Macaca fascicularis: one gene and its partners. The protein of the gene in region 1 purifies or fractionates together with the protein of each later gene. This does not show direct contact. Links are inferred from orthologs where the notes say so. Each region holds a gene or a part of one and is shown on either strand. Other genes may lie near its edges.

Evidence for each region. Proteins that work in one complex are often made in the same cells at the same time.
Region 2: the proteins of TMEM43 (region 1) and BZW2 purify together in Homo sapiens (affinity purification with mass spectrometry; 3 studies listed by BioGRID and IntAct, counting the BioPlex papers as one, with this or other methods). This does not show direct contact. The link is inferred for Macaca fascicularis from reciprocal best matches to the Homo sapiens genes TMEM43 and BZW2.
Region 3: the proteins of TMEM43 (region 1) and SAAL1 purify together in Homo sapiens (affinity purification with mass spectrometry; 3 studies listed by BioGRID and IntAct, with this or other methods). This does not show direct contact. The link is inferred for Macaca fascicularis from reciprocal best matches to the Homo sapiens genes TMEM43 and SAAL1.
Region 4: the proteins of TMEM43 (region 1) and CUL4B purify together in Homo sapiens (affinity purification with mass spectrometry; 3 studies listed by BioGRID and IntAct, counting the BioPlex papers as one, with this or other methods). This does not show direct contact. The link is inferred for Macaca fascicularis from reciprocal best matches to the Homo sapiens genes TMEM43 and CUL4B.
Region 5: the proteins of TMEM43 (region 1) and ENDOD1 purify together in Homo sapiens (affinity purification with mass spectrometry; 3 studies listed by BioGRID and IntAct, with this or other methods). This does not show direct contact. The link is inferred for Macaca fascicularis from reciprocal best matches to the Homo sapiens genes TMEM43 and ENDOD1.

Annotation. Positions count from the first base shown.
Region 1 is NC_088376.1:152,388,629-152,392,900, reverse strand, and holds the start of TMEM43 (transmembrane protein 43), read right to left. Parts: upstream 2,801-4,272; 5' UTR 2,690-2,800; coding exon 2,678-2,689; intron 1-2,677. UniProt on the Homo sapiens protein: May have an important role in maintaining nuclear envelope structure by organizing protein complexes at the inner nuclear membrane. Required for retaining emerin at the inner nuclear membrane.
Region 2 is NC_088377.1:113,551,651-113,555,674, reverse strand, and holds the start of BZW2 (eIF5-mimic protein 1), read left to right. Parts: upstream 1-1,224; 5' UTR 1,225-1,342; intron 1,343-4,024. Other genes in the region: ANKMY2 (ankyrin repeat and MYND domain-containing protein 2), read right to left, coding at 551-617. UniProt on the Homo sapiens protein: Translation initiation regulator which represses non-AUG initiated translation and repeat-associated non-AUG (RAN) initiated translation by acting as a competitive inhibitor of eukaryotic translation initiation factor 5 (EIF5) function.
Region 3 is NC_088388.1:47,667,642-47,671,766, reverse strand, and holds the start of SAAL1 (protein SAAL1), read right to left. Parts: upstream 2,801-4,125; 5' UTR 2,760-2,800; coding exon 2,628-2,759; intron 1-2,627. UniProt on the Homo sapiens protein: Plays a role in promoting the proliferation of synovial fibroblasts in response to pro-inflammatory stimuli.
Region 4 is NC_088395.1:126,835,759-126,840,032, forward strand, and holds the start of CUL4B (cullin-4B), read right to left. Parts: upstream 2,801-4,274; 5' UTR 2,750-2,800; coding exon 2,722-2,749; intron 1,973-2,721; coding exon 1,430-1,972; intron 1,326-1,429; exon of another isoform or gene 1,147-1,325; coding exon of another isoform or gene 1,125-1,146; intron 1-1,124.
Region 5 is NC_088388.1:94,102,287-94,106,297, forward strand, and holds the start of ENDOD1 (endonuclease domain-containing 1 protein), read left to right. Parts: upstream 1-1,211; 5' UTR 1,212-1,308; coding exon 1,309-1,608; intron 1,609-4,011. UniProt on the Homo sapiens protein: May act as a DNase and a RNase. Plays a role in the modulation of innate immune signaling through the cGAS-STING pathway by interacting with RNF26.

The DNA of each region.
Region 1 (4,272 bases):
CAGTGCCCCATCCTGGCACTAGGGGCCAGAGGAGTGATTTGAGTCAGAGTCTCTGCTTGGACAAAGCTGATGTCACGTTCTGATTGTCTTTGAATATCACCAGCCAAGGCCTCCAGTGACCAGATGTCCATGAATCCAGAAGTCATCTTGACCTTCTATACAATTTGGAAACATTAGGGGAGGGAATCACCACAGGCAGGCAGGTGACCATCATAATGATGACAATGGCAAACACGCCGGTCTATCACAGGCCAGCCCACACGCAAGCCCAAAGAGCTGGATGCCATAACCACCCCATTTCACTGATAAGAAAATCGGGCTTGGGGTTAAGTCATCTTCCCAGATCACACAGTTTCTAAGAGGAAGAGTTAGGATTCACATCTGGGCAGACTGGAGACTACTCTCCTATTACTCATTCCAGTCTGTGCTCCCCATCTCTTGGGCTACAATGTGAGTTGAATGTTGGGTGCCGGCTGTAGGCAGCAACAGGAAAAGGAGGTGTGGCTTCCTCTTGGGCGTCCCCTCAGCCAGCATCAAGATAAGGGGCTCAAAGACAGCCTTGGAGGGAAGGAAGAGAGGTACAGGAGGGTGCCCCTCAGGCTAGGGGAGGGATGAGGTAGGCAGTGACATGACATACCCAGCCCACATTCTGAACCAAAATTCCCAGTAAACATGGAGGATCATAAAGGATCTATATATACACACATATTTATATATACATATATATTACATGTATACACACAAATGTAAACACACACACACACACAGACATCCCCAGTGACACATCCCCTCCCAGTCCCAGCACTCAGGACTCAGAAGAAATGAGCAATGAGTGGTGGGAACAGAGGCTGACACATAAGCCCTGGAAATGAACAGAATTGGGTTCGATGCCCAGGTTCACCAATCACTTGCTGTGAAGCCTGGGTAAATTGCTCTACCTCTCTGATTCTGTTTACTCACTTATAAAGTAGAGAGGGGAATAGTACCTTCACCATCGGTACTGCTGCTGCTATACTGATTGAGAATTCTGTTGCCTCCCTACTCCATCCCACTATCTTCTTCCTCACCCAGCCTAGTGGCTGCTGTAAATGTATACCCAGCTACTGGATGAATCAACAAATGCTTGGCAGCAGAGGATACTCAAATGCATGTATGTTCCTTGGTGAGGGGCCAGGTCTCAATGTACCCAAGACGATCTCTATTCACTGGGACCATCTGTGCTCCCCTCTGCAATGACAGGCTAGTTTTCAAGTATTAGGTACCTACGACACACCAGGCACTGTGCTAAGCAGTCTCCCTTAAATGTCACAGTAACTGATCCATGAGGCTACATAAACCTGGAGAGATGAAAGCCACACATCTACTGGGTGGAAGAATCTGGATTGCCCCCAGGTCTCCCTAACTCCAAAGCCTGCCCTTTGCAGCATGCCAAGCTGGCCACAAGAGTTTGGGCAGGTGCCTTCCCCTGCTGGGGAAGTTCACCATCTGTAAAATATGGTGGTGGTGGTGATGGGAGCAGACAGAGTCCACATACTACAAACAGGCTGGTCTCCTGTCTGCCCTCTCTCCTGGCCGAGCCTGAGTCTCTCGGAATACCTCTGAGGCCTTTCTAGGTACACCATTCAAGGCTTCTAACCCTCCTGTGGGCCCAAAGTGTCCTGGGAGTGTAGATGATACTAACCCGAGACAGAGTGTACTAGGACTGTGGGTGATGCACACCCTGGCCTCTCAAGGGGTGTGGGAGGCAGAGAGGACGCTTGGGGACAGAGGCGGCGTCTGGAAATAGGGTGTGACAGGCAAGGGGAGAGCTGCTAGGACACTCTACCAAAGCAGGAGGGAGGGTGTGTCTGGGGCTGGCTGGGCTCCTAAGCAGGCCCTAGAAGCACTTTCACAGAGGAGGGGAGAAGTGAGTCACCAGCTTCTCCCACATCCAGCGCCCTGGTAGGAGGCGCTGCTTGGTGTGCTGAATGAATGTTGGGCTTAAATAGTTTCCCGAGAAAGGCTAGTTGCAGGGAGAAGAGGCCTTGAAGGAACAGCCCTCAGCCAGGCCTTCTCCAACCAAATCCTTGCTAGGAGGAGGAGGGGCCCCGACAGTAGAGAAATGCTCCCTCTCCCCCTAACTCCTTCGCTCCCAGCCCAGCCTAAGCTTTTTGCAGCATCACAGCCTCGGTTTACACAGCCTCCCTAGAGCGGGGAGCTCTCTGCCCGCCTGGACAGCCCTATCCGTCCATTGCTGGACAGCTCCACTTGGGCTGGGTCGCCTTCCTCCCTCCCAAGGGAATGGCCCCCTCTCTGAGCTCCCGTCCAGCTCTCATAATGCGCAACCTTGGGACGGCTTCAGGGCCCCAAGATACAGGAGGGAACTAGGAATGCAAGGAGGAGCCGCGGAGAGGCGTACAAGCAGATCGTAGTGCGGGAGCAACACCTCCGAGTCCGCCTCCGCACGAACGCCGAGGACTAGGCGGACCAAAGAACACGGACAAAAGAAGTCTGGACGGGTCGAGAGATTAACAGAGGGATGAGCTGGCGAAGGCACCGACACGGCGCGCAGAGGGAGATGCGGGCCCAGCCGCAGGGAGGAGCTCCAGACGGCGAAACGGACCCAGAGGGCCCCGGGGAAGAGCCCCAGGGCGACGGAGAAGCCTGGGTGTGGCCCGGCTGGCCAGGGGACACTCACATTCGCGGCCATGGTGGGACCCGGCTCGCTGCCGCCGCCTCGCGCTGTTCAGCTAGGAAGTGGGCTGACGACTGGAGCGCGGAGTCCAGCGGCCTCTTGCCAGCCCCAGCTTCGAAAATCCGCGTGGACTCCAAGACCAGGCGGGACTTACTGCAGTTACCGCCCCGTGTGCCCAGTGTTTCTGCGCATGCGCGCGGCGAGACCTGGAAACGGGTCAGGGACATTACAGTACCTCATTGATGCGCCTGCGCACTGCAAAGCTTTCTGGGAAATGTAGTTTCTACTGCCTGGCGAGCTGCTGTGGGGCTCGCGACCTGCTGGGAAATGTAGTTTCCGGCTGAGGTGGGCCTGGCCGCGGTTAAGAGGGCGCCGAGGCAGGCGCGCGGCGGGCAGGCCTGGAGGGGGCGGGTCCGCGCGGGCTTCGGAGGCGCCCGCACTGCCTGAGGAGAGGAGGTCACGGCGTAAAGCTGCAGCTACCGCCACTGCCGCTTCTGCAAGGTCTCAGGGACGGGCTGCAGCCATGTCCTATTGCCGGCAGGAAGGTAGGGAGGGCGGGCTGCCATGGAGACCGGCCTACGAGGGCCTGCGGGAGACACGCGGGCCCCGGCGCCCCGCTACCACGCCGCAGGCGCGGGCCACCCGAGGCGCGGCCCGGTTGCCCACCCTGGGACACTCGGAGGCGGGCAGGCTGGGGGGTCGCCACTCGTGTTTTGCGAATGAGAAAACCGAAGCTCTCGGGGGAACGGGACTGGTCCAAGGTCACAGTGAAGCCCGAACCCTGACCTCAGAGGGGCCTGTGCGTGGGAAGTCGTAAACTAGGCCGGGTTGGGGCACGGGAAATGCCGAGCACGTTGCGTGTGGCTCGTAACTGGGAATGTATGTTAATTATTACTACCGCTCCTGCCATACCCCACGTGTTGCCATTTTGCACGCGCCTTTAAAAGGCGGGTCCCGAAAAGTTGCTACTGGGGGTAGCGTGTGCTGTGCTGGGGTGCTAGGAGTTGTGCTAGGAGTTCTACTAACGGGAATGTTTTTGAGCCCCCTGCTACCTATCAGGCACTGTTCAAGGAAACTTACGTGGCTTGTCTCATTGATCTCGCTGCGCCCTTTGTAAGTCAGACTCTGTTACTGGTCACATTTTACTGAAGAGTAAAGTCTGACACAGGAGACTTGGCTAAAGCCACTCAGCCAGCAAATCGTGGAACCGGGGTTTGAGCCTGGGCATTGTGACCCCAGAACAGCCTTTTCCAATCTAGTGCCCAGTGGATTGCAGGGAGAACCCTGCCTACCTCCCACCCCAAAGTTGAGCTCCAACCACCTAATGCTTCCTTGATGTTACTCTACCCAAGAGCTCAGAAGTACCCAAGCCACAGGTCGGAGGGCCTCCCCACACACTGCCACAAACTGACTCCTTGGCCCTAAGCTCCTACCTAACCCCTCCAGGCCCTGGTTTCCAGTGTTGTAAAATGAGATGTTGGGCTTCACTGATACAGCAAATATTCATGAAGCATCTTCTCTGCTCCAGAGAAGGGGGATGGATGGTTATAAAGCTACAGAGAGAGTTGGAAGTCACCCAGAAATTCTTTGGTGAATAC
Region 2 (4,024 bases), on another chromosome or scaffold:
GGGAGGCCCTGGATGCGGAAGTCTCAATGCAGCAAATTACAGACCTAGTTCTGTGCCCTTATGAAGCACCCCTCTCCCTAAGGGCGCCCTCCACTCCCAAGCGGGGGCGGGGATCGGCAAAGGATCCAGATCATTCGGCCTGCGGAAGTCTAAAGAGCCATTTAGACACCCGCCTAAGAACCTGAAACTACCAGGACCGAACGCAGTCAAAATCCCTGGGGAGCAGTGAAGAATTCACACGCTGGGGCCCACACCTCGGGACGCTCGCATTAATCTAAGGCGGGGCGTGGAAATCCTTACGTTACCAAAAGCAGATTTAGAGGCCGAGCCTCTGTAACTACCTCTCCTGTCCCAGCACTGCTTCTACCTCCCCATCTCTCCGCCCCTGCAACCCTTCCCAGACCAAAGGGAGAAACGCTCTTTCCCGGTTCCAGGCTGCCAACCTTGCAGAACCGCAGCCAAAGGTCACGCAGGCCAGGGGCGCCCCCCCGGATCTGCCACGCCCCCCGGCCAGGCTGGCCGCGTCGGCGTCGCAGCCCAGCACCCGTACCTTTCCCGATGACTTCCAGCAGCTCCTTCTCCTCCTGGGTCAGCTCGCCTTTCTTTATGTGAACCATTGCTCCCGCCAGCTTGAAGGTTATTCTGTTTCTTAGGAAGTATTAAAAAAGAAAAGATGCGTCTGTATTGGGAACGCCAGCCGCAATGAGGCAACTTGAGACCAAGACACTGAGTAGCCAACCGCGGAAACGCTGCGCTTCTCTCCTCCCTCCCGCGGGCGGGCGGACAGCGGGCGAGCTCGGGCGAGCCAGGCTGGAGGTCTCTGCAGGCCCAGCGGCAGTCACCGCCCGCCGCCTGTCATTGGCCCGGCCGAGGAGGAGGAGCCGCAGGAGGTGGCAGCAAGAGATCACCATTGGAGAAACCGGGGAGGGAAAAACCAAATGCAGAAAGCTGGAGGGGGGAATTAAATTGCTCTTATACGTTCCGCACCCCTATCCTGTCCGGTTCAAATATTTCGCCACACGCAATATTGAAAATGCTACATCTGGCAGTTCTGTGCTCAGCGACGGCTTTTTGGGGCGTGCAGAGGTTCCCGGTTGTCGCCGTACCCCCACTATACCCCCAGGAGTGGCGTGGTCTGGGCAGGGGCGGTCTGGGAGGCGGGGGCGGTACGGGAGGCGGGGCTGCGCCGGGTTCCGTGTGTCTATGTCAATGTGTCTGTCCTTCACTCCTCCATTGTCTGCTGCCGCTGCTGCCGCTGCCGCCGCTGCCGCTGCACGAATCGCCGCAGTCCCCAGCCTTGCGCGTCGTCGCTACCTCCTCGGACAGGTGAGAAGCAGCCCAGGTGAGACAAGGGGTGCCGGGAGGGTTGCGAGAGCAGCGACTGCCGCCCCGCCGGGGCTTCCATCGGGCCGGAGCTGGCGGGGAGGAAGCATGTGCCTCCTGGGGCGGCTTCCTGCCTCGCGGTGGAGAAGCCCCCGCTCCACCTCATCATCACCGCGCTTACGGGGTGTCAGTGACCTGGGATGAAGACCTCCGACTCGCAACGTTTGGCCGCCCCGGGAGACCCTGGGACCGCAGGCGGGCGGGTGGGGGCCAGCCACGCGGTGAGAAGTGGCGGGTGCACATGGTCTCGTGCGTGGCACCGCCAGACGCGGCTCCCGGGGAGGCTGGGGCCAGGGCTCTGGGCTAGGGGTCGGGAGGAGAGCGCCCCATTACTAGCGAGTCAGTGAGGACAGACTCGGGAGAAGGTAGTTTTTACGTTGGTAATCCTCGCCCTCCCCACTACTTGTCATCTCTTTGGCCTCTGTGGAAGCTGTAGAAGAAAACCGGAGCTGATCGCCTAATGTTGCTTGTTAACGATGTTTGGAAACAATTTACACTTGCACTAATACTTCGTTTATGAGAGACAGCCTGGGGGAGGAAAGGGCTTCTTTGCTCTGCTAGAGTTCTTGGTTCTCTTTGTAACTCAGATCTTGAGATTTATGGAAATACGGAGTGGAGGGTGGGGAGGTTGGAGAGGGCGGAGATTAAATTGGTGTTGCTGCCTATATATAGCCTTAGATTAGCCTCTTAATCCAACCTTCATTCAACTGTAATATGTAGCCTGGAGCTTCAACCATAGGTAGATGGGGATAAATACAAGTGTGTACTCAGAAATAACATTTGCTTGCTAAAATGTGGGAATCAGTGATTTCTCCAGGGTACGCATTTATATTTACATCATCAATGAAAGTTTCTTTGAAAATTCGTGTTTATGTTTTACTGTTGTTTCCCTACAGAGTAGTATTGATGTTTCTCTCAATATGTGTGTCAAAGAGACATGTATGTGTCAAAGAGAAATATTTGAATAATTATGTAGGTGGTTTTTGTTAAGCATCCCCAGGACCACTGTTTCTTCTCATAGTGCCATACAAAAAGCGAAATCCATTTTCCTCTGGCCTTAGGCGTTTATTTTGTGTGAAGCTTTCACTAACACATCTGAAATCTCCTGGAGTATGTTTATCATTATTTCCTGCCTTTAGCAAAAATCTTTCCTAAACTCCAGCTGTTTTTGCCCCCTAAAGCTTCAGCTTCAAAGGCTGGGACAGATCTGAGCCAGAACATCTTACATGAAAATGGTTTGAAATTATTCATCTCAGTGTATAACAAAGATACTTTTGTTGGATGATGCTTTAATAATGATGTGGCTGTTCAGGCAAGTAGTAAGGCTTCTGAGAGTGACCGATCTTTTGTAATGCTGTTAGTTCCAGAGTTACAATTGATTTATAATACAGTATCATGCGGAAGAAACCCACAAACCTAAAAAAACGCGTGAGTAGTAACCTCCTGGAACATGTGATTTAGCATCTTACCAGCAGATGCATACACAGAATTGGGTACTTCATTGCTAGTATTTCCATCTCTTGTGCCAAATCTGGGCCATGGTTACTTGAAGGTCACACCTGTTTGTCTCACTGGGGTTGTCAGTTCCTCGAGGATAGCAACTAACTATTTTCTTGATGCCTTATGACACTTGTTTGGTATTTAGTGCTCTCTGAATACATGACCAGTGAATTTAGAGACAATAACATTGAAAGAGAATCTAACATCTACCTAGAAATGCAGATAAATCATGTTCAGTTTACATTTCTAGAAACAGATTCATAATGGGTACTTTTCATTAGATGGATTGATCACATTAGTAGTTGTATGGTGTAAATATTTAATGTAGGAATAAGATTAGATAATGAGCATATTAAAATAGATTCACATCAAAGAAGTTTTATTGATAATAAGATGGCTACTTCATATTGAGTATTTAGTCTGTGCTAGATATTCTACCAGATGCTTTGCATATAATTATTCTATTGTTATGACAACTCAGGAATTAGCCAATTTTATCCCCACTTCTGCAAATAAGAGGACAGAAACTAAGGGAAATAGTTTGTCCACAACCCCATATTAGGAAGTGTCAGAGTCAGAATTGGAATAATGATTTCTGAAATGTGTGAAATGTATGTGTCCTCTCGTATCTTTTTCTACTACTACCACTCTAGACCTATTGCAATGCATCTTAAGTAGCCTGCTTCTCTCTCACCTGTCTCTGTCTAGCTAATTCAGGGAACTACCAGTTCAATAAACATTGAGCACCCATCATTCTGTGAATGGCTCTCCTCTGGCCACAGAATAGAGGGCTGGGTCTGGCCTGGAAGGTTCCCAACCATCCATGGTCTCAGCAGGCATTTCCAGTCATCTGGGCCCTCCCACACACTGAGCTCTAAGGTCACCACTCTGCTGGTTCCCCAACCTGCCGGTAATTTCCACCCCTTTGTTCCTGCTTTTCTCCTTCTCCGAATGACTTCCCTTCCCTTTTCACTGAATCTCCTCTCCAGATCTGATGAACTATTCAACTTTTCAGACATAATTTAAACAAAAACTCTTTTCTTCAGCTTTTGTGTTCATCTCTCTCTCTCTCTGTCCAGTAAGGGAAATATACGTGCTAGTAAATACATTTATTCATGTCTCTTGGCAAGGGTTATAAGTA
Region 3 (4,125 bases), on another chromosome or scaffold:
CTGGTGTGTCTAAATGGTCCCGATCTGAGTGAGTGTGGGTGTGTGTGTACCTGTGATGGGATGGCATCCTGTCCAGGGCTGGTTTCTGCCTTGCACCTTGAGCTGCTGGTTTAGGCTCCAGCCACCCTCAACTCTGAACCAGAGCAATTGGGTTGGGAAATGGATGAATACAAATTATTATAAAACAAAAATCTGTAAAGAAGACAATAATCATGGAGATGTACGACAATAATTATGTGGTAGGAATGTGCTCAGTAAGCCTGCCTTATTTTTTTGTTTTTGGACTGTACGGTAGTAAGAGGTGGTCATTTTTGCTTTGTAAACATTTATTCCTTGATTTAACATAATCAAAGAATAAAAGTTGTAGTGATAATCACTACAACCACCATCACTCACTAACTCACCAAAATTAGGTAAATAGTTCTTGTTTTTATTAACCTTTCTTAAATGTATTTATAGCTCACATTTATTTCAATATTTAATACTAGACATGTTTTGGGTCCTCATTTAGAAGTTTGGTGATGTTCTTCTGTCCAGAAATATGCCACAGGAACTTAACTCTTGTTTATATCAATTAGCTATGTAAAATTGGTTTCATTATCAGTAATTTTGCTTCAAGTCACAATTTCCAAGAACCTACTGATGTTAAGTGAGGACTTACTTTAATAATAACCCATAATTGTTTAGAAGACACAAAGAAGCTACCAGCAAAGTATCTTCTCTTGCAAAAATCTTCTTTTAAAAACTTAGTGCCTTGGGTAGATCTATTCTTTCAACATTCACAAAGTAAATACTGTTGCTAGGCACTGGGGTAGATATACAAAGACGAGTTAGATATAATCCCTTACTTTTAAGATTTTTTTTTTTTTTAACTTTTAGGATCTAGTGGGGAAAGACATGTAAAGGGATAGTCATATTAGAAAAGGCAAAGTGGGCAGGGCGTGGTGGCTCAAGCCTGTAATCCCAGCACTTTGGGAGGCCGAGACGGGCAGATCACGAGGTCAGGAAATCGAGACCATCCTGGCTAACACGGTGAAACCCCGTCTCTACTAAAAAAAAATACAAAAAACTAGCCAGGCGAGGTGGCGGGCGCCTGTAGTCCCAGCTACTGGGGAGGCTGAGGCAGGAGAATGGCGTGAACCCGGGAGGCGGAGCTTGCAGTGAGCTGATATCCGGCCACTGCACTCCAGCCTGGGCGACAGAGCGAGACTCCGTCTCAAAAAAAAAAAAAGAAAAAAAAAAGGCAAAGTGATTCAAATGAATTGTGGACAAAAAATTGTGGTAGCAAAAATGATGGACCAATGACCTATTCCTGGGAGAAGATGGGGAACTTTCTCTTAGGTGTTGATATTTAAGCTAAATTTTAAAGGAAGAATAGTAGTTTGTCATGTGAAGAAGGAGAGAAGTGAGTATTCAGAGGAAAGTACAAGAGTTCAGAGTTGAGAGAGGGCCTAGCATGTTTGGGGATGGTGAACAGTTCGCTGTTGATGGAACATAGTGTATCACGAGAAGATGAGGCTGGAAAACGTATACACAGCCCTGGATCCCAAGCTTCAAGAAATATGCATTTTTCTCCTATGCAAAGGGAACTAAGCAGTGTCATGAATAGCGATGTCTTTAAAGATTATTCTGGCAGCTGTGTAGAAAATTAACTGGAGAGGATAGAGAAGAGAAGCAGAGGAACCAATGAGGGAAACATGGGGAGAAGAAAACCCACATTTACTGACAGCCTCCTATAAGTCAAACACCATGCTAAGCACTCTATGGCCATTATAATCTCACTTAACCTACACAATGACCCTATATATAATAATATAAATATTATAATCCCATTTTATAGAAATTAAGAGAGAAATAGAGGTTCTGAGCCGTTAGGTGACCTGCAGCTAGTGGGTAATGAAGCTGTGTTTTTTGTTTTTTTGAGACAGGGTCTCCCTCTGTCCCCCAGCCTGGAGTGCAGTAGCCGGATCACAGCTCACTGCAGCCTCCAACTCCAGGCTCAAACGATCCTCCAGCCTCAGCCTCCTGAGTAGCTGGGACTACAGGTGTGCACCATCACGACCGGCTTTTTTTAAGTTTGTAGAAACCAGTTCTATGTTGCCCAGGCTGGTCTCGAACTCCTGGCTCAAGCGATCTTTCCGCCTCGGCCTCCCAAAGTGTTGGGATTACAGACGTGACCCATCGCGCCTAGTCAGAAGCCACGTTTTTTATATAAAAGTTGTATAACCCTAAAATCACCATTTATTATATTACAACTATAGTCCATGAAATATATAAACTAAGGACCTGGGCTTCAGAAATGACAGTGGGGATGGGGAGCAAAACCCGAGCAATGCAGTTACACGATCGTGTATTTTTGGAGAACTTGCGAAACTACAATAGAACCCCAAGTATTCCAGCATCCCTAACATTATACTTCCCTTTGTGTCGAGAGACCCCGAGGGGCCCCAGATAGTTCTGGGGTCCGCAGCGGCCGGCGAAACGCAACAAGCGAGGTCCCGCAGCGCACGCCTGGGGAGGGGTCTTTGTGGGGATGGCGGCTCCCGGAGCAGGAGGAGCCGCCAGAGGCGGAGCCCGGGTGCCTGGGGGATGTGGGAAGAGCCCACGCGTGGCGCGAGTTTCCACACCTGGATGAGTCCGCTGAGGACGCCGAAGAGCCAGTGTTTGCTGTAAACCGTGCTCCCTATGCAGTCTCCACCGGCCACCTCCTCCTCCTCCTGGTCGCGACCCGGAGGCGGCGGCGAGGGGTTGCGATCCATGACTTTGCCGCGTCCCGCGCTCGAAGGCCGTGCCGGAAGCTGCGGAGGAGACGACCGGCACCCTAGTGCCAGAGCGCCCGGCGCACCCGGCGGGACTTCCCCTACAGCGCCCCCTGCTGTTCGGAGCTTGGCCAGCCAGCCAAGATGGCTTGACCTCACCCACCCCATTCTACCCAGGACCCAGGCACGAATATACTCATAATTATTTGTCACCCTCACTGAATCAGGTGTTCCATTTCTCCAGGAGCTCTTAGCCTGATTGAAGAAGGAAGGGTGGGGGCAGGGAGGAAGCCTCAGGAACAGATGTGAATCTGAAAGCTAGCGAACTTACTCTATTCGCCCTCTCTTCCTACAATCCTCTGATCTCTGGTCACCGTTGCCATTCCTAAAAATATCCGTGGGCGAAGCTGGATGACTTGTAAGGGATTCCAGGGATCCAAACTGATTTGTAAAGCTAAAGAGGCACCATTTGTCCTCATTGGAATGGCAGGTTTTGCAGTAGTTGCTGCATATGGATTATACAAATTGAAGAGCAGGGGAAATAGTAAAATATCGCATCACCTGATCCACATGCGTGTGGCAGTCCAGCTTTGTTGTAGGAGCAATGACTGTTGGTATGGGCTGTTCCATGTATCCGGATTTCTATGCAAAACCTAAACCTTAGAAGAAGAGATGTTGTCGTTGTCTTGTTGGAGGAGCTTGGCTCATTAATGAGTCATCTCATTATTGAAGTTACATGTTTATATTGAAAATAAATTATTTGAGTAGGTTCAGATGATACTATGATATTTTGAGTTTTCACTTCCTTTCGTGTAGGCTTGATTTGCCTTGTGACCAAATTATTAGTGACTCCAGTTCACTAACTAGATCATTCAGGGGAGTCAAGTTAACACACAAGAAACACGTCACCTAAATGAACTTGATGGTGTTAAAATGTTCAAATTCTTAAACTGTTAAGATGAAATTAATACTAAAGAAGATAGCAGGCCAGTCCCAAAGTACTCCCAGTTTCCTCCTGAATCTTGCATGCTTTAAATGTTAAGAGTCCAATTTACTCCAGTTAATTTAACTTTTTTCTGTCTGTCTTGTGGACTGGCTGACTCTTTTAGAACTCTTTCAAAAAAGTTGCATGAAATATAACTTGTAAAGCCTCCCACAACTGGCAGTATTGTGTGCATGTGTTTAAACCAAATCTAGAAATCTTACAACAGACCTGCATAGTATTAGTATTGATTAAATAACCATAATTGTAAACATGAGAAAACCTTCATTATGAATTTCAGTTTTGCACTTTTATAATTGCAGAATTACATTTTTGCTGCTGTTATATTAGAATAATTTTTCAGTGTCATCTTGAAACAGAAAT
Region 4 (4,274 bases), on another chromosome or scaffold:
TTTTAAAGATTGAAACATCCAAATGACTCCAGAAATCATGTTGCATTTTCAGAATAGAAAGAAACACCTTACTCTAGGCTTTAAACTTCACTGACTAGCAATGAGTGTGGGGAAAAAAGTTTTAATTAGAACATCCAAATGCCTTAATATGCTTTTATCTTAGGAGGGAGAGAAAAAAATCTCTGAAACCAATTTGAAAATGCAACCAGGATCATAACTCATTTAAAAATATTTGGCTATAAAAATACATATATTTTTAAGTGAAATAATGAACACGTTAGTCAATTACAATTCATATTGACTTCAGAAAGCTCTACTATTAAATCATAAACTGAGAACCTGGGTATGGGAAGGTAGTGATATAAAAAAGAAAGAGTTAAAAATAGACAACACCATAGCCCTCTGCTTGAGACAAAATAGAGCACATTCCTGATTTCCACTCAATGTTAAAAACACAAGCATAGAGAACCTGATCTTCTCAATACTAATATTCAGCCACAAAGCACTTATCTCATAAATATTACTTAAGTTCATTCATTTACTTCCCTATTTAATAAACACTGTAGCACTGATTACCTGGCAGTTAAGGGTGTTGAAAAGTCAGTCAGAAAAACAGAAACACATTCAACAGATAAAAATTCAGCTCAAATACAGTTTTAAAAATTGCTTATTTTATATTTGCATCAATGCATTCATAATACTCTCCTCACATATCTCAAACACGGTCTGAACAAATTTTCCTAAAAGCTGCAAGTCGATACTTTAAAATCCATTTTAGTGATGGAAAAAATAGATGTAGTAATTGTTCCTATCTTTAGACTAGTGGTACACAGACTTACTACTTCTGTGTATACACAATGTTTTTCACTTTCAAACCCTACCTTTGGAAAGAAATACAGAGAACATAAATTTTTCTTCTAATATTGCTTCCAAATGAGTTTCATGAATACAGTGTAAATCTAATTATAAATATTATTTGAGCACAAAAAGATCACTATTGCTACCTGCATTTCTAGGCATTGGATAATGTGGCCTACTGAAGCATAAAAATAAAAATCCCAGCAGTGCCAAGGCTCGCTATGCACCTGAAATAAATAAACCTCTTTAGAATACAAATTTCTCACCTGTAAAATCCGGATCAATCATACCGATTGTCAGTGTTATAAGGAATAACAGATTAAATACAATAGGCTGAAAAAAAACCTCAAAATACTGCACAGAAACACCCGGTGTATGCTTCAGCACAAGGATCCTAACCACCCCCGGAAAATGAACCCTCCACCAAAAAAGGACCTCCCCTCCACCTCATTGATTATGCATAAAACATTAGGCCACCTCCAAACTGTTTAATATATTAACATAAATAGAGCACGTGACCCCTCGAGTGTCAAATCCTTATTAGGTGATTATGGATTTTGGCCTTGGTTACCTTTAAAGTTCTTGATCACTAACTTCTTAGCAGAGCCAGGCTTGCTGTTAGCAAAGCTAGAGACGGTGGTAGAAGATTTGGCTAGGCCGTTTGCATGATGCACCGAAGCCACAGAAGAGATTAATATACTCTTATTTTTAAGTTGCTGCTGCTGAGATGTTGCAGCAGTTGGTGAAGATGAGGAGGAGGAGGAGGAGGATTCCTCAGCCATCTTCGCATCAAACCCTACAAACTCCAGGGTGTCTTCAAAACGCAGCTTCTTCTGTATCGGTACGTGGCTGGAAGCAGCCACTGAAACCCCCAGGCAGAAGGACGAGGTTGAAGGGGATGCCGAATCCCTGGGTTGTAAAGGAGGAGTGGAAGAGGAGGAAGAGGTGGAATCAAAGTCTTCTCTCTCGTTACTACTGTTACTGCTGCTACTGCTGCTGCTGTTTAACTTTCTCTTCTTGGCAGAGGTGGGCGGAGTGGTGCTGGTATTACCATCAGTGGCAGATCTGACCTCCTGAGCAGCAGCAGCAGCTGAGGGACTGGGGGAAGAAAAACCTGTTGGAAACATGAAAATAGCGGGGTCAACAGGCAGAGGAGCATCAAAAACCTACGTTTATATGCCTGCGTGCGTGTAGGAGAGAAGGTGGCAATGCTAGAGGGGGAAGGGAAGAAAGAAGAGAGGAGAAACACAGAGGACGAGAAGGAAAGTGAAGGCGGGGGGGGCTACACCGGGGGAATGGGAGGGTTTGGGAAGGCGGATAGGCTGACACCAGGAGTGAGCAGAACGAGGGGGGAGAGCGAATGAGGAGGCAGACAGGTAAACGGCCGTGCCGTCCCCCTCCCCTGCTTTTCGATCTCTCTCCCCCCCTTTCTGCAGGAGCGACTCAGCGAGTCTGTGAGGCTGCAGCTCCTCCTCCTTTTCTCCCTCTCCCTGGGAGGGGAGAGGCTGTGGTTGGGGGAAAGGGGGAGGGGGAAAGAACCAGGGCTTGTTATTGTCAATAGCACAAGAGGCTAAAGATGGCGCCATTTCCGGTCACGCGGCACCGAGGGAGGGGCGGTGCCAACCTCAGGGATTGGGGGTGAGGGAAGCGCTGCAGCCGCCCGGGGGGCGGGTGAGCTCGCGCGTGAGGGGGCGGCTGGGAAGGGGCGGCTAAAGTGCCCCAGACGCTCGCGTTAGTTCGCTCCGGCTCCCGCTCTCCTTCGCGCTCCCCCTTCCTGGCAGCGCCTTCCTTCCCTGGCCCACCGGGGACTCCCACTCGCTCCTTAACGGTCCCGCGGGAAGCTCCGCGCCGCAGCGCCCTTACCGGAAGTGACTGGGCAGACACTTTTCATAGCGCCCAGATCCCGAAGCCCCCAGGCCCGCAGGACTTGAGTTGGGGGGGGAAGGGGGGAGGGAGAAATTGGGGGGAAGAAAAGTGGATGGGAGGAGGGGGCGGGCCTTCGAGACACCTTCGGAGCTCCTGATTGGAGCTTTCTGAAGGCGAGGGGGTGGGGGGGGGGTGGCGGGAGGAACGGGGAGGAGCGGGAAGGAGCCTCGGGGAGGGAAGGTAGTGACGGCGAGGGGCGGAGTGAGCTAGCTGGGAAAACGGAGGAGGAGGAAGAGGAGGAGAGAGGGAGGGACGAAATAAAATGTAAAGGTCCGGGAGAATGGAAACTTTGAAAGAGATAAAGGAATAAGGAGTGGTTGCAAGGCTAGGGGAGTAACCCTAAATAGAGGAAAACATAATCATGCTATTATGCCCGTTACTGGAGAGGAATGTCCCGATGTTAAGATAGGAAAGGAGAAGAAAACGAGCTAAGATAGGAAGAAAAGGACTTTTTGATTCGGTGCCGCTATAAATTGTTTCTCTTTTATCTCAAGGCACCACAGACCCAAGGCTGAATAAGGCCTGAGTTTTGATGCCTTTCTCTTTCATGTAGCTGTAAATCCTTTTATCTTCCTACCAGGAGCATTTTCTAAGCTGGCTGGCCAAATTAAGGGTGTATTCTAAGGCGAAGAAATAGAAAGGTAACTAACCACTCACCCACTGAGCACTGTGCCCAGGACCGTCCTAACCCCCACTCTATCAGTCCTTAACTCTAATTTATAGACCAAAGCTAAGACCCACTTCCTTCTTTTGCCAAATCTCAGCTTACACGCTGTCCCAAAGGAGACATTTTAGAACAATATTGGCAAAAGTTAATGTTTTCTACCAATGTGTTTCATGAGCCCCCGCTTTACATTTGATGACTGATTTTAAAAATCTTTAAATTTAGTTAAATTAGCAACAATCAACCTTGTAAATTCCCTGTTGGGAGTTTTTACTTAACCTTGGGGCATTCTCAGAGGGAGGTAACACAATGTCAAATAGAACTAAATTTGCCAACCTGTTGATCATTCTAACTGCAAAAGCATTCAGTGAGCATGTATGGTAAGACACTATGCAAGGTCTCTGCCCTTGAGAAGCCAGTAAGGGAAGATAGTTTCAAAACTAATTTCCATAACAATACTATGACAGATATACAAAGTGCTGTCAGAAGAGGCAAAACAAGAAATTTGGGGGAAATCTGGAATAGGAATAGTTTTACAGAGATTGTGTTTATGCTGTGCCTCAAAGTGGGAGTTGCCAAAAAGACAAGAGGGAACAGGATGAAAGGCATTTTGGGGAATGGAAACAAGGGCAAAGCAAGGAGTGAAAGGGCCTGGCCTGTTTATGGAAACATGGAAAGTGCAGTGAGGCTGGGAAGTAGGATGTCTAGCTGGGAGTAAGGAAGATGAGGCTCAAAAGGGCCTGGCACACCAAGCCAAGAATTTGGAGTCTACTCTGTAGGCAATCATAGATAGCAGGGAGACAATCCAGCAAGCAGAGCTTTTACA
Region 5 (4,011 bases), on another chromosome or scaffold:
ATTGTAATGCCAATCATAAGCATAAGAATTATTTCATGAAACTTTTCTCATTATGGGCCTTCTCAAAAAGTGTTTGAAGGCCTCTGGCCTGTAATACCCTGAGTAATACGACCCTTGCCTCCTCCTTTAGCTCCACTTCCCATCATCCCCACGCAGTTCTCTGCTCTTTACCCACACTAGCTTTCCTTAAATTCCTCCAACACATCATGTTTCTTTCTGTGGGAGACCACTTAGCACATGGTTTTCCTCCTTGCCTAATGTCATCCTTCAGGTCTCAGCTCGGATGCCATTTCTTCAGGCAAACCTTCCCGGATTACATCCTGAACCCCTGCAGCTGTCAGGGTCTCACAGATCTGCGTTCAGTTTTTAGTTATCCCTTTAATAGCATGTTTCCTCGGTGAGTGACAAGCTTTCCCACTAGGCTGTCTTTGTGACCGCAGGGGCCCTGTTCTTGTTTACCCCTGTGGTAATCCAGTGCCTATCTCAGGCTGGCACCTAGGCATTCAGAGGGATAAATGAAGGAAAGAATTGGCCAACCTGTTGACCAGTGACGTTGGCTGGCCTCCTTCCTTGCTTGGTATCGGTTTTGTTTCTAACCCTTGCACCGAGAAAACCACACAGGGTTGTACTGTCTGCCCAGTTCAGGAACTTCCTTTAACAGTATTTCTTTACTCTCTGAGTTTCTGGTGAGCTCAAAAACAAAACAAAATACTGCAAGAAAATTGTATGCGTGTGCTGGCCGTTGAGCACTTCGGTGGAGAGTGGGAGAAGGATCTTCATAAGATTTCAGAGGGGAACTCTGCCCATCCACTCCGAACCAGCTGCAGCTCCGTGAGCATCTCACGCCACCCCTCTGCATCCCCAGGGCTGCCGTGGGGCGCGCGCGATCAGCAAGCTTCTTGGCGCCCAGTCCATGCGACTATCTCTTCCCAGTCCCTGGACTAGGCCTGCCCCACTCGGATTCTCCACTCTTGGTAGCGCGCGTCCCCGCGGACTGCTGAGACCAGGCGGCGCGGCGGCAGGTGACCCGCTTCTCCAGTCCCGGGCGCAGCCCAGGGGACATTGTCAGCAACGCGGTGCCCGGCCCTGGGCCTCTGCAGCCATCTTCAGGGAGAGGGGCGCGGCCTCCGGACGCGGATCCGCCCCCGCCGCCCGGGTTGCCCCGCCCGGCTCCGCAGAGCGCGGCGCCTGGGTTCCGACTTCCCTTCCCTACCCTGCTAGGCTGCGTCGCGCGCTCACCGCCCAGCCCGCAGAGCTCGCGCCGCGGCAGCCTAGCCGCTCGGCCCCGCCGCGCTCGCAGAGGCCGCCATGGGCACTGCGCGCTGGTTCGCGCTGGGCAGCCTCCTCGCCCTGGCTAGGCTGCTGGAAGGCCGGCTCGTGGGCGAGGAGGAAGCCGGCTTTGGCGAATGTGACAAGTTCTTCTACGCCGGGACCCCGCCTGCGGGGCTGGCGACCGATTCCCACGTGAAGATCTGTCAGCGCGCGGAGGGCGCTGAGCGCTTCGCCACCCTCTACAGCACTCGGGACCGCATCCCCGTGTACTCCGCGTTCCGCGCCCCGCGCCCTGCGCCCGGCGGCGCCGAGCAGCGATGGTTGGTGGAGCCGCAGGTAAGCGAGGTGGTTCCCGAGCCGGGGACCGTGCCGCTGGACTTGCCCCCAGTGGCGCTTTGCGGCTACCGCGAGGGGCCGGGCCGGGAACAGCAATCCCTACGCCTTCGATGCCTTGGGCTAAGAAACTCGGGTTCCAGATCCACCCCGTTGCGTCCCCGGAGTTTAGCCTGCCTCGCCCTCTGTCGAGGCTACAATAAGAGCCTGGCGATCTGCGAGCCTTCACTTCACTTCATGAGTTGCAGGGGCGGGAGGTCCCCTGTGGGAGGAGGTTCTCCCTACATTTCTGAGCAGACATCCGCAGTGTTTCATTCCTGAATAGTGAAGAGCGTGAGACAGAGACCCTGGAGACCGTTCAGATTCGCAGAAAGCCTACGCTGGGCGCTCACAGGCCTTCGTGCAAGTTACTGTCATAGCACTCATTTGGAGGTGGGTAGGTGGGCATTTTCATCCCCATTTTACAGAAGAGGAGATTAACCCAGGGCGTCGAAGAGACTTGCGGAAGACCACCCAGTTAATAAGATGGGGCAGGTCTTTTGTCTAGAAATTCACTGTCTTTTCTACTAAGTAAAGCTTCTCTACTGCAGAGCTTATCCTAGCCTGAAAATCCTTCCTCTACACACGGCATTGAGTAAATTCGATCTGCGGTTGTGTTGAATTAGAATAAAATAAAGATACAGATTTTTAGAAACGCAATGGGATAGTTACAAATGATAGGGAAACAATGACTACCTCCAACTGATGGAAAGATAAGCCAGTTTTTCCTGACTCTTCATATCTATATTATCATACCACTAGGAAATCATGTCACCTCTCATGGTGTTCTGTCCCATCTGGTAAAGGTGAACAAACACTTGAGAAGCCCTCAGAGTCTTCCGAACCTGCTTTCTTGCTCTTAACACATCCTGACTTACCTCTGCTCAGTTGATCTCCTCTCTAGAATACCCTGCCAGGCTCCCCTTTCCCTCTCACCAGCCTCCCACCCCTGTCCAGGCTGCTGGGGGAGGAGCTGACCCAACGGCTCTCCCTTTCCTGAGGACCACAGCTGCCCAGGACCACACCAGTGGACAGGAGGCTGGCTTTCAGGTGCTTTTTTCAGAGCCTGTGGATTGTAATCTCATTGAGATATTTCTAGCTCTGAGGTCTTGGCCAGGTCTCAAACAATCTGCACCTAGTTTTCTTATCTTCCTCACATCCTTCCACTTACCTCAATTGTTGATAACACCTGTTGAGATCAGGTATGTGAAAAAGACGTTGTCAGTTGCACACACAAGATCCATTTAAATCCAAAATTAGTTTTCCTCCAGCTGTACCCCTAGAGCTCACAGGGTGTTGCCCACCTCTTGTCTTGCACTGTGATTGTGTGCCTGTGAAGAGAACAAATGACCTGGTCCTTTCCCTTGATCTCATGGATAGCTTGGGGAGACAGAACATACGTTTGAGGAAATCATGGGAATGCATGCTAAACGAATTTCAGTTAAATTCAGAACACATTTAGTGATCTCCTGCTGTGTGCCAGACATTTGGGATGCCAAGAGATCTGAGTGCCGTTCTAGAACAAAGGTTACCTGATCTGCAGGTGGAGTTTTCTGGGTGGAGAGGTGGTGTAGCATTTGATTAGAGCCATGCTATGTGGGTTCAAATCCTAGTTGCTCCGCTGACTAGCTATGAACTTGGGCAGGTTAAATTGGAGATAATAGCATAGGGTGTTGTGAGATTTAATGAGTTACTATATACAAAGTTCTCAGGTGTGTGACACATGAGTACTAGCTGTTGCTATGACACGGGCAAAAAACCCATAATTTAATAAAGGTGAACAAAGTTCTATTAGATTTAATCTGTCTTTGAGGTGATGGAAGCAAGCCTTAGGGTCAGGATGACATTTGTGCTTTGTGTGGAAAGATAAGGCAGAGTTTAGAAGGGAGGCAAAGAAGAGGACATTTCAAGCAGAGGGGACAGACTTCAGGAGTGAGAAAGGCATGGCAGATTCAGGGATTTGTGCATGGAGAAGTTGGAACAGGTAAACTAATACAAATAGATTAATGTACTCGGTTGCTCAGAATAAAAGGGAATCACGGAAGGGAGGGATCAGGTGGGGAGGAGCCGTCAAGGAAGGCTTAGGGAGGCAGAGCCATTTATGCAACTAGGGAAGGAGTGAGTCATAAAGGAGCATAGTTTGCCAGAAAGAAGTAAAGGGAACCAGGTAACATGGATTCCGTGGGTGGGATAATGAGGAAGGGGACTGTGGAGATTAAAGAAGATGGGAAGGGAGGGCGGAAATAGTTACAAATGGCAGCTTGAGAGGTAAGATGTACTGTAGTTCTGAAAAGTACAAGGGGCCTGAGCTCTTACTGTGCTGAGAGGTCAGAATGGTCACTGTGGCTGAGCACTGCAGGATGCTTT